3 linked regions of the Coturnix japonica genome follow. The protein of the gene in region 1 purifies or fractionates together with the protein of each later gene. This does not show direct contact. Links are inferred from orthologs where the notes say so. Each region holds a gene or a part of one and is shown in the gene's direction. Other genes may lie near its edges.

The links.
Region 2: the proteins of CEP97 (region 1) and SUGT1 purify together in Homo sapiens (affinity purification with mass spectrometry; 3 studies listed by BioGRID and IntAct, with this or other methods). This does not show direct contact. The link is inferred for Coturnix japonica from reciprocal best matches to the Homo sapiens genes CEP97 and SUGT1.
Region 3: the proteins of CEP97 (region 1) and CCP110 purify together in Homo sapiens (co-immunoprecipitation; 10 studies listed by BioGRID and IntAct, with this or other methods). This does not show direct contact. The link is inferred for Coturnix japonica from reciprocal best matches to the Homo sapiens genes CEP97 and CCP110.

Annotation. Positions count from the first base shown.
Region 1 is NC_029516.1:76,474,905-76,478,916, forward strand, and holds the start of CEP97 (centrosomal protein of 97 kDa), read left to right. Parts: upstream 1-1,212; 5' UTR 1,213-1,298; coding exon 1,299-1,353; intron 1,354-1,456; exon of another isoform or gene 1,457-1,585; intron 1,586-1,834; coding exon 1,835-1,977; intron 1,978-2,719; coding exon 2,720-2,878; intron 2,879-3,356; coding exon 3,357-3,458; intron 3,459-3,961; coding exon 3,962-4,012. Other genes in the region: RPL24 (60S ribosomal protein L24), read right to left, coding at 17-127, 784-859, 983-987. UniProt on the Homo sapiens protein: Acts as a key negative regulator of ciliogenesis in collaboration with CCP110 by capping the mother centriole thereby preventing cilia formation. Required for recruitment of CCP110 to the centrosome.
Region 2 is NC_029516.1:148,374,596-148,378,095, reverse strand, and holds part of SUGT1 (protein SGT1 homolog), read left to right. Parts: intron 1-589; coding exon 590-606; intron 607-1,437; coding exon 1,438-1,472; intron 1,473-2,040; coding exon 2,041-2,137; intron 2,138-3,339; coding exon 3,340-3,447; intron 3,448-3,500. UniProt on the Homo sapiens protein: May play a role in ubiquitination and subsequent proteasomal degradation of target proteins.
Region 3 is NC_029529.1:8,227,008-8,230,507, forward strand, and holds part of CCP110 (centriolar coiled-coil protein of 110 kDa), read left to right. Parts: coding exon 1-347; intron 348-1,329; coding exon 1,330-1,454; intron 1,455-1,585; coding exon 1,586-1,760; intron 1,761-2,548; coding exon 2,549-2,688; intron 2,689-3,012; coding exon 3,013-3,129; intron 3,130-3,404; coding exon 3,405-3,500.

The DNA of each region.
Region 1 (4,012 bases):
ATTGCTTTATACTTACTGACTGTCCTTTCTTGTGCTTACGCCTGTACAGAACAGTCCAGTTGATTTGACGGGGGTTTCTCTTGGAAAGGAATGCAGACTCACATTTTGCATTCAAGAACTGGAAAACCTGAGAAGGCAATAAAGTATTTGTGTAAGCTTCGTTTCTATGAATGACACTGTCACACTTTATATCAGCATATCAAGTAATTATTTGATTCAGTGTTTATCCTGTCACCAGTGAGAAGAGACCAACCCCACTCTCGTGTAAGCACCTTCTGTACGTGTGGGTCATGAGAGGATATAAGCAACACTTGAGAGACTAGAACTGCTCAACACCTTCTTGACTAGAGGAAACTGAAGGCAGTATTAAGGGCCTGATTTGCTACTAGCTAGTCAGGTTGAAATTCTTCAGTTTCTAAGGAGATCACCTCAAGAATCACTCGGTCCAGCTGTTTAGCTGCCATAAGACATGCTGCACAGCAAGACCACAGCACTGGAACTAGAAAGACTTGCAAGATGGTTGGGTTGGAAAGGACCTCAAAGCCAGTTCCAGCCTCTATTGTGGGCAAAGCTGCCACTCAGCAGCTCGGGCTGCCCATCCAGCCTGGCCTTGAATGCCTGCAAAGATGGGGCACACACAGCCTGTACCAGCGACAAGAACCAGAGTGTCTTTATAGACACAAACATCGTATCTCTAAGATAAGGAAACCAGATCCCAACGATCCACTCAGCACCCGGTCCCTACTCGGCTCGGCCTCGCTCCCCCCGCTGCTCCGGCCTCACCTTGCCATCCGTGCGGGCGTAGCGGCGGCCGTGGCCCGGGTAGATCTTGTACCCGCTGAAGCTGCACAGCTCGACCCTACGAGAAAGACACAAGTTAGCAGATGGCGCAGACCGACGGCCAAGTGTTCCTCAGCCATCGCTCGGCCTCCCCGCGGGGGATGGATGCGGATAGAGCAGCCAAGGCCGCAGCCCCACTCACTTCATGATGGCGGCGGGCGGGCCGAAGAGGAGGGGAGCCGGCCGGAAGGGGGCGTGGCCCCGGCGGCGCGCGGTGTGCCGGGAGCGCTCCGCCCCTGCGGGACCCGGCGGGAGGGTCGGGCCGCAGAGCGGGGGTCGGTGTGGGATCCTCTGCCGGCTGCCGCTGCGTCCCGTTGGGTTTCGCTGGCTGCGGGGGGCGGTCGCTGTACGGGGAGATCAATTAATCTTCGGAACAACGGGAATTTTCTCGGCGAGCGGCGAGGCAGCCAATCGGCGCCCAGCGTCCGGTTGCCTGGCGGCGTCGGTAGGAGAGAAGCATGGCAGCTACCGGAGCGGAGGAGCGGAACGAGCCCGGCTCGTCGGCTGCGGGGGGTGAGGGCACCGCCGCGGGGTCACGGCGCGGGGGGCGGGATGGAGCCGGCGGCTGGAGGCTCGTTGGGGCGCCGTTGTGCGGCGCCGAGAGACGGCAGCGCGTGGGGTGTGATGGGAGATGGAGTCGGGATGGGCGCCGGGTACACGGACAGTCAGGAGTGATTTCCTCATCCCTTTATATTGGTGTCTGGTGGAACGCTTTAATCGGGTGCCAGAATTTAAACAGGGACTGGTAGCTACATCTACACTGTGCCCCGGTGGCGCAGTGGTACAAGTGCCGCTTGCAACACCGAGCCCCGGGTTCGAATCCCCCCTGTGGCGCAAGTGGTAGAAGTGCCGCTCTGCTACACAGAGGCTCGAATCCCGGGGGTTGGACTCGATGATCTTTAAGGTCCCTTCCAACCCGCACCAGGCTATTACCTATTACCTATTATCTTCTAATAACTGATTGCTTTCTGTCTTATGTTTTTCTTATTCTAAGGTTTGGTAGTTAACTGGTCAGGTCAAGGATTGCAGAAGCTGGGTCCGACCTTACCCTGTGATCCTGATACTCACACTCTGATTCTGGACAAAAACCAGATAATTAAATTGGAACATTTGGAGAAATGCAGGAATCTGATGCAGGTCAGTGGGACTTGAGTTGTATTTGCTGGAACCTAATGGTTGGATATCAGGAATATCAGGAAGAACTTCCTTACAGAAAGGGTAGTTAAGCACTGGAATAGGCTCCCCAAGGTGGTGGTTGAGCCACCATCTCTGAATGTGTTTAGAAGCCATTTGGATGTGGTGCTCAGGGATGTGATTTAGCAGAGGGTTGTTAGGGTACTATGGGTAGGTTGTGGTTGGACTTGATGATCTTTAAGGTCCTTTTAAACCTGAGCAATTGCATGGTTCTTGTTAACACACTGAGTTATGTAGGCTCTGATGTTGCTAGTGCTTAGCTTTAATATACTTAACTTTGAAACGTTTCATTTAGGTACATGAGGGTTAAATATATGGTACATGAGGGTTAAAATATGGTTTTACACCAGGAATGTTGCAAACGTTTGTAAAGTGATTTGGCAATATTGATTTTAAAAGCTTATTTTCATACGATGCAATTCCTCGTTTAATCCCCTCCTTTATTAGCTGTTGATATGAGAAAGTCTTCACAGTTCTACAGACTTAGTGGAAATCTACTTTCTTTGATGATTTATTCATTTCTTGTCACTTGCAGTTTTTTGGGTCTGTAGTATTTGCTTAAAAATTGAACATCTACAAAGAAGTAGTTCCTGTTGGATTGGACTTTTAGCTTGACAGACAGCCTATACTATCAGTAGAGTTTAATCATTGAATCTGTTTCTTTAACTTGTGTGTCCATCTGCAGTTGTCTGTAGCCAACAATCGCTTGGTACGAATGATGGGTGTAGCAAAACTGACTCAGCTCCGTGTGCTAAACTTGCCTCATAATAGTATTGGGTATGTGGAAGGGCTGAAGGAGTTGGTACACCTGGAATGGCTCAACTTGGCAGGAAATAATCTTAAGGTAAAGTACATAGAGTTTTATGTATCTTTCCAGAATCTACCATAGTAGAAACTTGGAAAACACAGTGAAGATGATCTTTACGATGTTTCATTCTGTTCTACTGCATAGAAGACTGAATTTTTGTTTCTGGTTTTAATGGGAATAAATGTCAAACCTTCCTGTCCACTAGTGTAATGAAATGAAAGAGGGCAACTTTTGGACAAGAATTGGCTTGGGGAAAAATAGATCTTGGCTTGACACCAACTTGTAATAAGAACTGGGAGGTAGCCAACAAAACAGGAAAAGAATAGTTATCTTTAATTTTAAAGTGTCTGATATCAGGTAGTTATATCAGGTATTAAAATAATTTTTAATACATGATTTTAATGTAGGCCTTGTTATGCAGTGCTGTTAGCTTCCCAAGTTGTTTTCAATGATTGACACCTCTTTTGATTTAATGACTAAAAAAATATTGAAATTGACTCCTTTATTTTTATAGGCCATTGAGCAAATGAATTCCTGTGCATCTCTTCAGCACCTTGATCTGTCAGACAACAACATATCTCAGCTAGGAGATCTCTCAAAACTTACGTCTCTGAAGGTAGATGCACTTTTGTCTGTTCTTATATTCTTTGCATTGAGCATTTTTGTTTAGAAAATTGTAACCTTTTAAAACATTAATTATTCAGATGCTAGATTTTAAAGCATTCTAATTAATCCCTGTGACTTTTAGAAGGAGGAATGAAAGGGGTATTTTGTTGCTTTCAAGTTGCACCAACTGGGCCAGTGATTCTTCTGCAGTCGCTAGTGATTTTGATTAAGGTGATGCTGTAAGACAGCACTTGTTTCTCTTAGTGGGTTATGAATCAAGGGAAAGCACAGTGTTAAGTCTTTTTATCACATACACAGAGATAATGTTTCAAATATACTTGTGAATGCAGCTAAGCATCAGTTCTGTATTTCCTAATAGTAACAGTTTGCTTTAAGATGTAAAATTCAGTTTTCCCTCCCTGGAATACTTTTGGAAAATAGTTTTTAGTAAACTTCTGTTGTTGTCATTGTTGTTCAAACATGCATCTTTATCACCATATTTCTATTTTATAGACCTTGTTGCTGCATGGAAATATTATAACTTCACTTCGTACCGCCCCCGTT
Region 2 (3,500 bases), about 72 Mb from region 1:
CAACACAAAATCCAAACATTTCTTGAACACTCCCATGGTCGGTGACTCCACCACCTCCATGGGCAGTGCATTCCAATGCCTGACTACCCTTTCCGAGAAGTAATACTTCCTAATGTCCAGCCTGAATCTCCCCTGGTGCAGCTTAAAACCATTCCCTCTAGTTCTATCTCTCAATATATATATGTTCTGTATAAGGGATGGTCAAGCTAGCACAGACTTGCAGGATGTGATTTCCATTTTAGTTTTTGCCACAGTCTTGATTTCATTAAACGAAGGTCTGTATCCTTTTCTTGTAAGGAAAGCAAAGCAATGCAAAGGTTGTTCTTGCTGTTAATGGGAGCATGTTTTATATTGTATCTTTGCACAAGTTGGTTGTTGAAGTTGATAGCACAAAGAAAGCCTAATTAAAAATAGAGTGTCACTAAGGCTGCAAATGAAAGGTAAAGCTGGTATGTTTTTAACTTTGTACCATTGAGACTGGCATGAATGCAGAATGTCTGGAGTCAGTGAAGAAAAGTGAAATAAAAGTCGTGTTGGGTTCACTTTTTTCTGACCATGCATCTCTTTTTGTCTCTTTTTTTCCCTGCAGGCTCACAGACAGAAGCGGTAAGGTGTTTTCCTTAATATTGTCTTGAATCATGTCTCAAACATGCTTGTAGAATTCAGTGCCTCCTTACAGCTTGAGGACTTAGGAATGACATTCAAGTCTGGAAATTACTGTGCGCTCATTCAGGTTTTAACTTGCAGTCTGTGGTACCAGACTCATATCAGCTCATCTTGTCAACTCACGGCCGCTCGAAGATGTTTTCTCTGGTGGCTCACATGTGGGTTTTGCAGACTTTTTTCAGCTGTAACTCAGACAAGTATATTTCCTTTTCTAATTGGAAATCTTCAAAAGAAATGTCAAAATTGACTTTTTGAAGCCAAAATACTCTTTGTGCCTTTTATATATATATATATATACTAAGATATACATATCTTAGTAATAGGATAGAGGGAGAAAATGTACAGAAAATAAGGTGGGTGTATATAAAGACATACGATTTGAAGGGTTTTTATGTTTTAAAACTCTGCTGTTCGTTCTCAGACCTATTTCAGGTTTCCTTTGTGACTCACAGATGAGCAACACGGCTGCTGTGTGTCTTTCAGGTGTTCTTCTTAGCCAGGAAGGAAAGAAATTAAAGCTGATCTAGTTGTTATCTTTCAAACGTGTGGCCTGTGTATTGTAAGAGACACTGAGCGTGTGCGTTGTCAGTCTGTAAATGGTAACTTTTAAAGTCTGTCACAAACGTAGAGTGAAGAATTTCTTCTTTCTTTCATAAGTTAATGCACATACAGAAGAAATGTGATCAGTATGAGAGTGATCTGTATCCTTGTTCTTATATATGTCAAATACACTGATGCAACTTTCTTTCCAATGCAATATGCTTCGTCTAGAATACACAACAGCAACCTCTGTCATCCAAGATCAAGTAAGTTGACTTCAGTATTGCTGTGAGAACTAAAATAACTGTCTCACCTGTTCTTTGCTGACCTGGGCATTGGAGATACAAGATAATGACTGTAAAAATTCTGTAGATTGCCACTTTGTGACGTTTCTGAGTGAGTTGTTCCTCAAACAGTGTCACTGACTTTGTTCTTGCTGGGTGGGTGTGGAATGGAGTAGACATTCTAGCTTCTGTTTTCTGGTTTATGAGCTTAATTCAAAGACTTGTTCATAGTGCCTAATGTAGGTAATGATTTTGGGATGCTTTTAAGATCCTGAAGTAAAAACGTGCTATTTAATTTATTGAAGGCAGGCTATAACATGAATTGGTTAAGGTGATCCAATTTTCATAAATTCATTGATTAATCATTTTTCTATTCAAATTTGTAACTGCTCTGTGGAAGGGTGCTGTTCTACCCCTTGCTTTGAACTATGCAATGCAGCGTTCCTGCTTTCATGTTGTGTGGGGGATTGTGGGTTGTGGTTGTTGGGTTTCTTTAGCTTGTTTTTAAACATCTCCTTAGAGGCAATTCTTTCTTCTTTTTTTTTTAAAGGTATGACTGGTACCAAACAGAATCTCAAGTAATTGTGACTATCATGATCAAGAATGCGCAGAAGGATGGTGTCAGAGTGCAGTTCTCAGAGAAAGAGGTGATTTATGCTATCGATAAGCATCTCTAGATTCCATGAGATGTAGTTCTACCAAATGATGCTCACTTCTATTAAAAGCATGAAGAAATGCTAGAAGCTGACTTCAGTTTGAGCATCTTTACATACAGTTATGCAGTAGCTACATGTATGCAGAATCAAGTGGATTAGTTGCTATTGCTACAGTGAGGTCTATAGGACTTACTCACAACATGCAGTGTGGCATACATGCAGCAGAGGGAGCATCTGCTTTTCAGCTGCTTAGTTGGAGGAAGTGATCTGAAGCTCAAGTGTTTGATTGTATCTCTGTCTGTTCATACTCCAGATGCATGAGAGGTACTCTCAATGTAGTTATAAATTAAGTTCTTTACTGGGAGAGTGGTTAGGTCCTGGAACAGGCTGCCCAGGGAGGTTGTGGATGCCCCATCCTTGGAGGGTGTTCAAGGCCAGGTTGGATGGGGCCCTGGGCAGCCTGGTCTAGTAAGTGTGGAAGTTTGGTGGCCCTGCCAGGCAGGGGGGTTGGAACTACATGATCCTTGAGGTCCCTTCCAACCTGGGCCATTCTGTGATTCTGTAAATAATTTTAGGATGGTAACAGAAAAACAATGTGTTGGTGGGTTCATATATATTGTATCTCTAAAACTGTCAGTTGTAGCAAAGCATACATTTCACGGAAGGGTGGTAATCTGTGTAGTGCCATACTCAGTACAGTGACATTTGTGCTTAATTAAGGGTAAACACTGAGGAGTTCAGTTCTTATTCTCAGCTAAGTTGGTGCTTGGTGAACTGCAAAGTACTGTGGTCTTTAATGTATGGCAAGTGCTCACACAGTTTTCACATTGCTTGCATGAATTAGAAGGGAAGTTGCAAATTGTTTTCGTGTTCCATTATTAATACGTTGCTGCTTCGTTTGCTATAATTCTTTCCTTAAAGAATGCAGATCAAGCTGACAGGATAATTGGCTTTTTAAGTACTTGCTGGCTAAAAAAGACATAGGAGATTTCAGTTCTGTAGTGTACTTTCAGACACCTTGTCGAATAACGCAGTAATGTAGTGCTGTTGTGTGGAATTTTGATGTGTGATGTTTTAAGTACCCTAGTAAAGGATCATTAATCACTTCGTCTTGATGTCAGATGACAATTCTTTACTCCAAAATGAATAACTGCTCTCAAAGATGACAGAAATGTGTTTTCAACTGTTAACAGATGAACGCATCAGTGAGGCTCCCCTCAGGTGAAGACTACAACCTAAAGCTTGATCTTCTTCATTCTATAGTGCCAGAGCAAAGTACGTTTAAAGTGCTTTCAACGAAGGTAAGCTCTTAATGTAAATTATTTATGCTTCTGCTCTAAGTCTCATTGCAAGA
Region 3 (3,500 bases), on another chromosome or scaffold:
TGAGACCAAAGCATCCAGTTTGCAAGAAAATACTAAATCTCCAGTAGAACTCAATAAATCTTATGATGTAGAAAGCCCGTCCCCACTACTGATGCAGAGCAAGAGTATGCGCCAGCAGATGGATCCAAGTGTTCCCCCAGCAAACGAACAGATTCTAGAGAACAGCTTTGAAAAGGTAAAACGTAGACTTGATTTGGACACTGACAACTGCCAGAAAGACAGCAACCCCTGCGCTGTAACTGTTGGAATGGAGGAACAGGAGAAGCAATGGCTGCAAGAGCAGAAATGTCCCATGGCATCAGTTTACATTACCAAGAATGCAGCCCCTGATTCAAATATGGCAAAAGGTAAAAGATTTCCAGTGTTTGTTTTCTAAACTTCTCGGTTTAGAGAATCTTCTAGGGAAAAATGATTTTTTAAATATTCTAATCAATCTTATTAAAATTAATGCAGCTTTTAATATTATAATTTATTGTAAGATTAAAAATTATAATTGTTGGTGATTCTAAGTACATATCTATCAAAAGGCAGAAGTGTTATTCTGGCAGTTCTCTTTTTTTCAGTAATCTCATCTAATTTTTAATTAATGACCAATTCTGAATTTCAGCTGCTACCTGAGCTGTGCTTAATGGCTGCACAACGGGCTAGTTGCTCGTTTACAATTCACTCATGGAAAGAAGTCTTACAGCCCTCTGTAACAAATCCTTCATTAAATACTTTATGAAGAAGCATCAGATGAAACGTTTCTCAGTTTTGTGGATTCTCTGTTTATTCTCAGGGATATCACTTTAGGCAAAAACAAAAACCCAACACGTTCTCATTTGAATGTAGAAGTTTGAACTTAGTTTTACTAATATAATTTCTTGTTCTCTTAGATTTAAGTAAGACTACTAAAATGAATTAAAAGAGAACACCTTTCAGCAGCAAGGTTGCAAATGACTATATAGGTGCTTTTGTCATTTCAAGACTGTGTTACATTTGTGTCTTATCAAGTTAAACCAAAGTGACATTAATAATTTTAGTTTACTCAGCAAGTGTGGGTATTGTGTTCCCAGATCCAGATGTTTTACATCCTTATTCTAATACAGTCTCCATTGGTGTTACTGCTGTTCCATCCACATACTAATCCCACAAAGAGGAACGTGCAAATATTCTGAAGGACTGTTGTAACTGAAAGGCTTCTTTGCGATGCATAATGGCAACTTGATATAAAAAATGTGCTTTTTATTGAAGATGGAAATTTCTCTTTTGAAGCAAATATATCTGTGACAAAAGATCACATAGAAAATATTTAATGCTTCATTCTTTGTAATGCATGTGTCTTCTCAGAAGAGATTTTAAAGACTAAAATGTTGGCCTTTGAGGAAATGAGGAAGAGACTCGAAGAACAGCATGCACAACAGCTGTCAATTCTGATAGCAGAACAAGAGCGGGAGCAGGAGAAACTGCAGAAGGTAAAGCAGAAAGAGGAGAAAGTCTGAGCTGAAGTCCTGTGTGTTTGTCAGGATGCAGATGGTTTTGAAATATACATTTTGTTGTGTTGCAGACAGAAAACAAGTCTTACAGCTGATTTTTTCTTTCATAGGAACTGGAGGAACAGGAGAGGAAGGGAAAGAAGATCGCTACAACAGAAATAGAAATATCCAAAGTGAATATTAACAGTAGGATGGAGTTGGAGTGGAGAAAAAGTGAAAGCGGCTTAGTAGAAAGTGTGCAATCTCAGCTGGAGACAATCCATAATGCAAACTCTACAAGCATTGGTAAAAACTGACTGCTAAAATTAAACTGAGGGTCAGATACAGATTAAATGTGGTATATTTTGCTCTGCAGTATTGACTGTAGCAGCTGCCCTGTTGTGCTGGTAATGATGGTGCTGCAGTCATGGGTCACCTCTCACCTGTTCAATAAAATTCAAAATGTGTTGTTTTTTTTCCCATTGGCTCACCTAATTTTGAGTAGAAATGAATTAAATATTCAGATTGCTTCTTTCCTGCTGTTGACTTTGTACAAACAGCATTGCTCCCTCTGAGCAGAGTTCTCTCTTGCCTGTTTTAACTTCTATTCCTCATCAAGCACAAATGGAAAATTGGTGTTTTAGCAGGTGAGGAGCAGAGGATCTTTGAGAGTAAGACTGCTAAGCTATGTGGTTTTGATTATTTATGACTCATCTCTAGGGATCTACGTTGGCAGCATCAAACGCTTCAGAAGCACTTTCTTTGAGATGCTTTATGGATGAGATTTTTGTAGAGCAACTTTAATATTAAACAAGTGATTTTTTTTCATGCTGTAGGTGGGTATTTTTTCTCCCAGTACATAAGTACTATTGTATAAAATGTAAGAACTGGAATTCTCTCCATTTCTGAATGCGAGGTTGACTTCCTGACTGCAGCCTAAGTTAATGTGCTTGATTTTGTTTGTTTGTTTGCTTTTGTTATTTTGTAGAGAGCTCTTAAACAAGCGTAATGACCGTGTGTGTACTTGCACACATAGATTTTGAGCCATAAGGCAATAGCTGTATTATAAATTGCGTGTTCTGCTGTGTGTGCAGGTTTTGCTCATTCTACGTCACCCAACACCTTTACTTCAACAAGTGAAACTTCATTCTTCCTCTGGGGACCATCAGGCAGTGGAGTTATTAAAACCTCAGTGTCTAGGCCAAGTAACAGGATCAAAACCAGGTGGACCCAGGTATGGGAAAATAAGATATAGCTTAAAAAGACCTTCTGTTTTTGTAAGATTCTGGTAACTTTCTAGTAGCTGTGCAGTAGGAAATCTCACAGGAAAGTTCAGTGTCCCTTCCTATATCAACTTAGATTACATGGCAGAACTTTATAGTGTATTTTTCTTGTGGAAAAAGCAAAATATGTATTACTTCTTATCAGTAGTTGTTTCTTACTTCAAGACTTGAATCACGTGATGTAAGAAATATCAGCAACTTAATTAAAGATATTTATTAAATAGCTCTTCTGCTTTGTTTATTCAGTGGTTAGAAAATGCTTATTTTCTTTTAAGATTTTCACTCCAGAGATACAAATGAAGTTTGATAAGGTAACTGCTGTGGCAAAGGGGTTTCTTACGCGTCGGCTTCTACAGACAGAGAAGCTGAAACATCTCAAGCAGACTGTGAGAGTAAGATCCTCATTTTTACATTATGCAGCTTCTACTCCTGTTTTGGTTTTTCTTTTTTCTTCTCTTTTTGTCTCCTGTCATGAAATAATGTATCTTCTGCGTTGAGAAGAATTTAGGCATGTCTGTCCTGTGAACACATTTGAATGTTGCCCTGCTTACTGTTACAAGGCTTAAGTCAAACAAAGATGACCATCCTTATCCGTATAGTTTATGATGATTCATTGGTTGAAAAGGATCACACTTGGTGCTTCATCTTATTTCTCCCTCATCCCCAGGATACCATGGAATTCATAAGGAATTTTCAGTCTGAAGCTCCATTAAGAAGAGGAACTGTTTCAGCACAAGATGCGTCCCTTCATGAAAGAGTAATG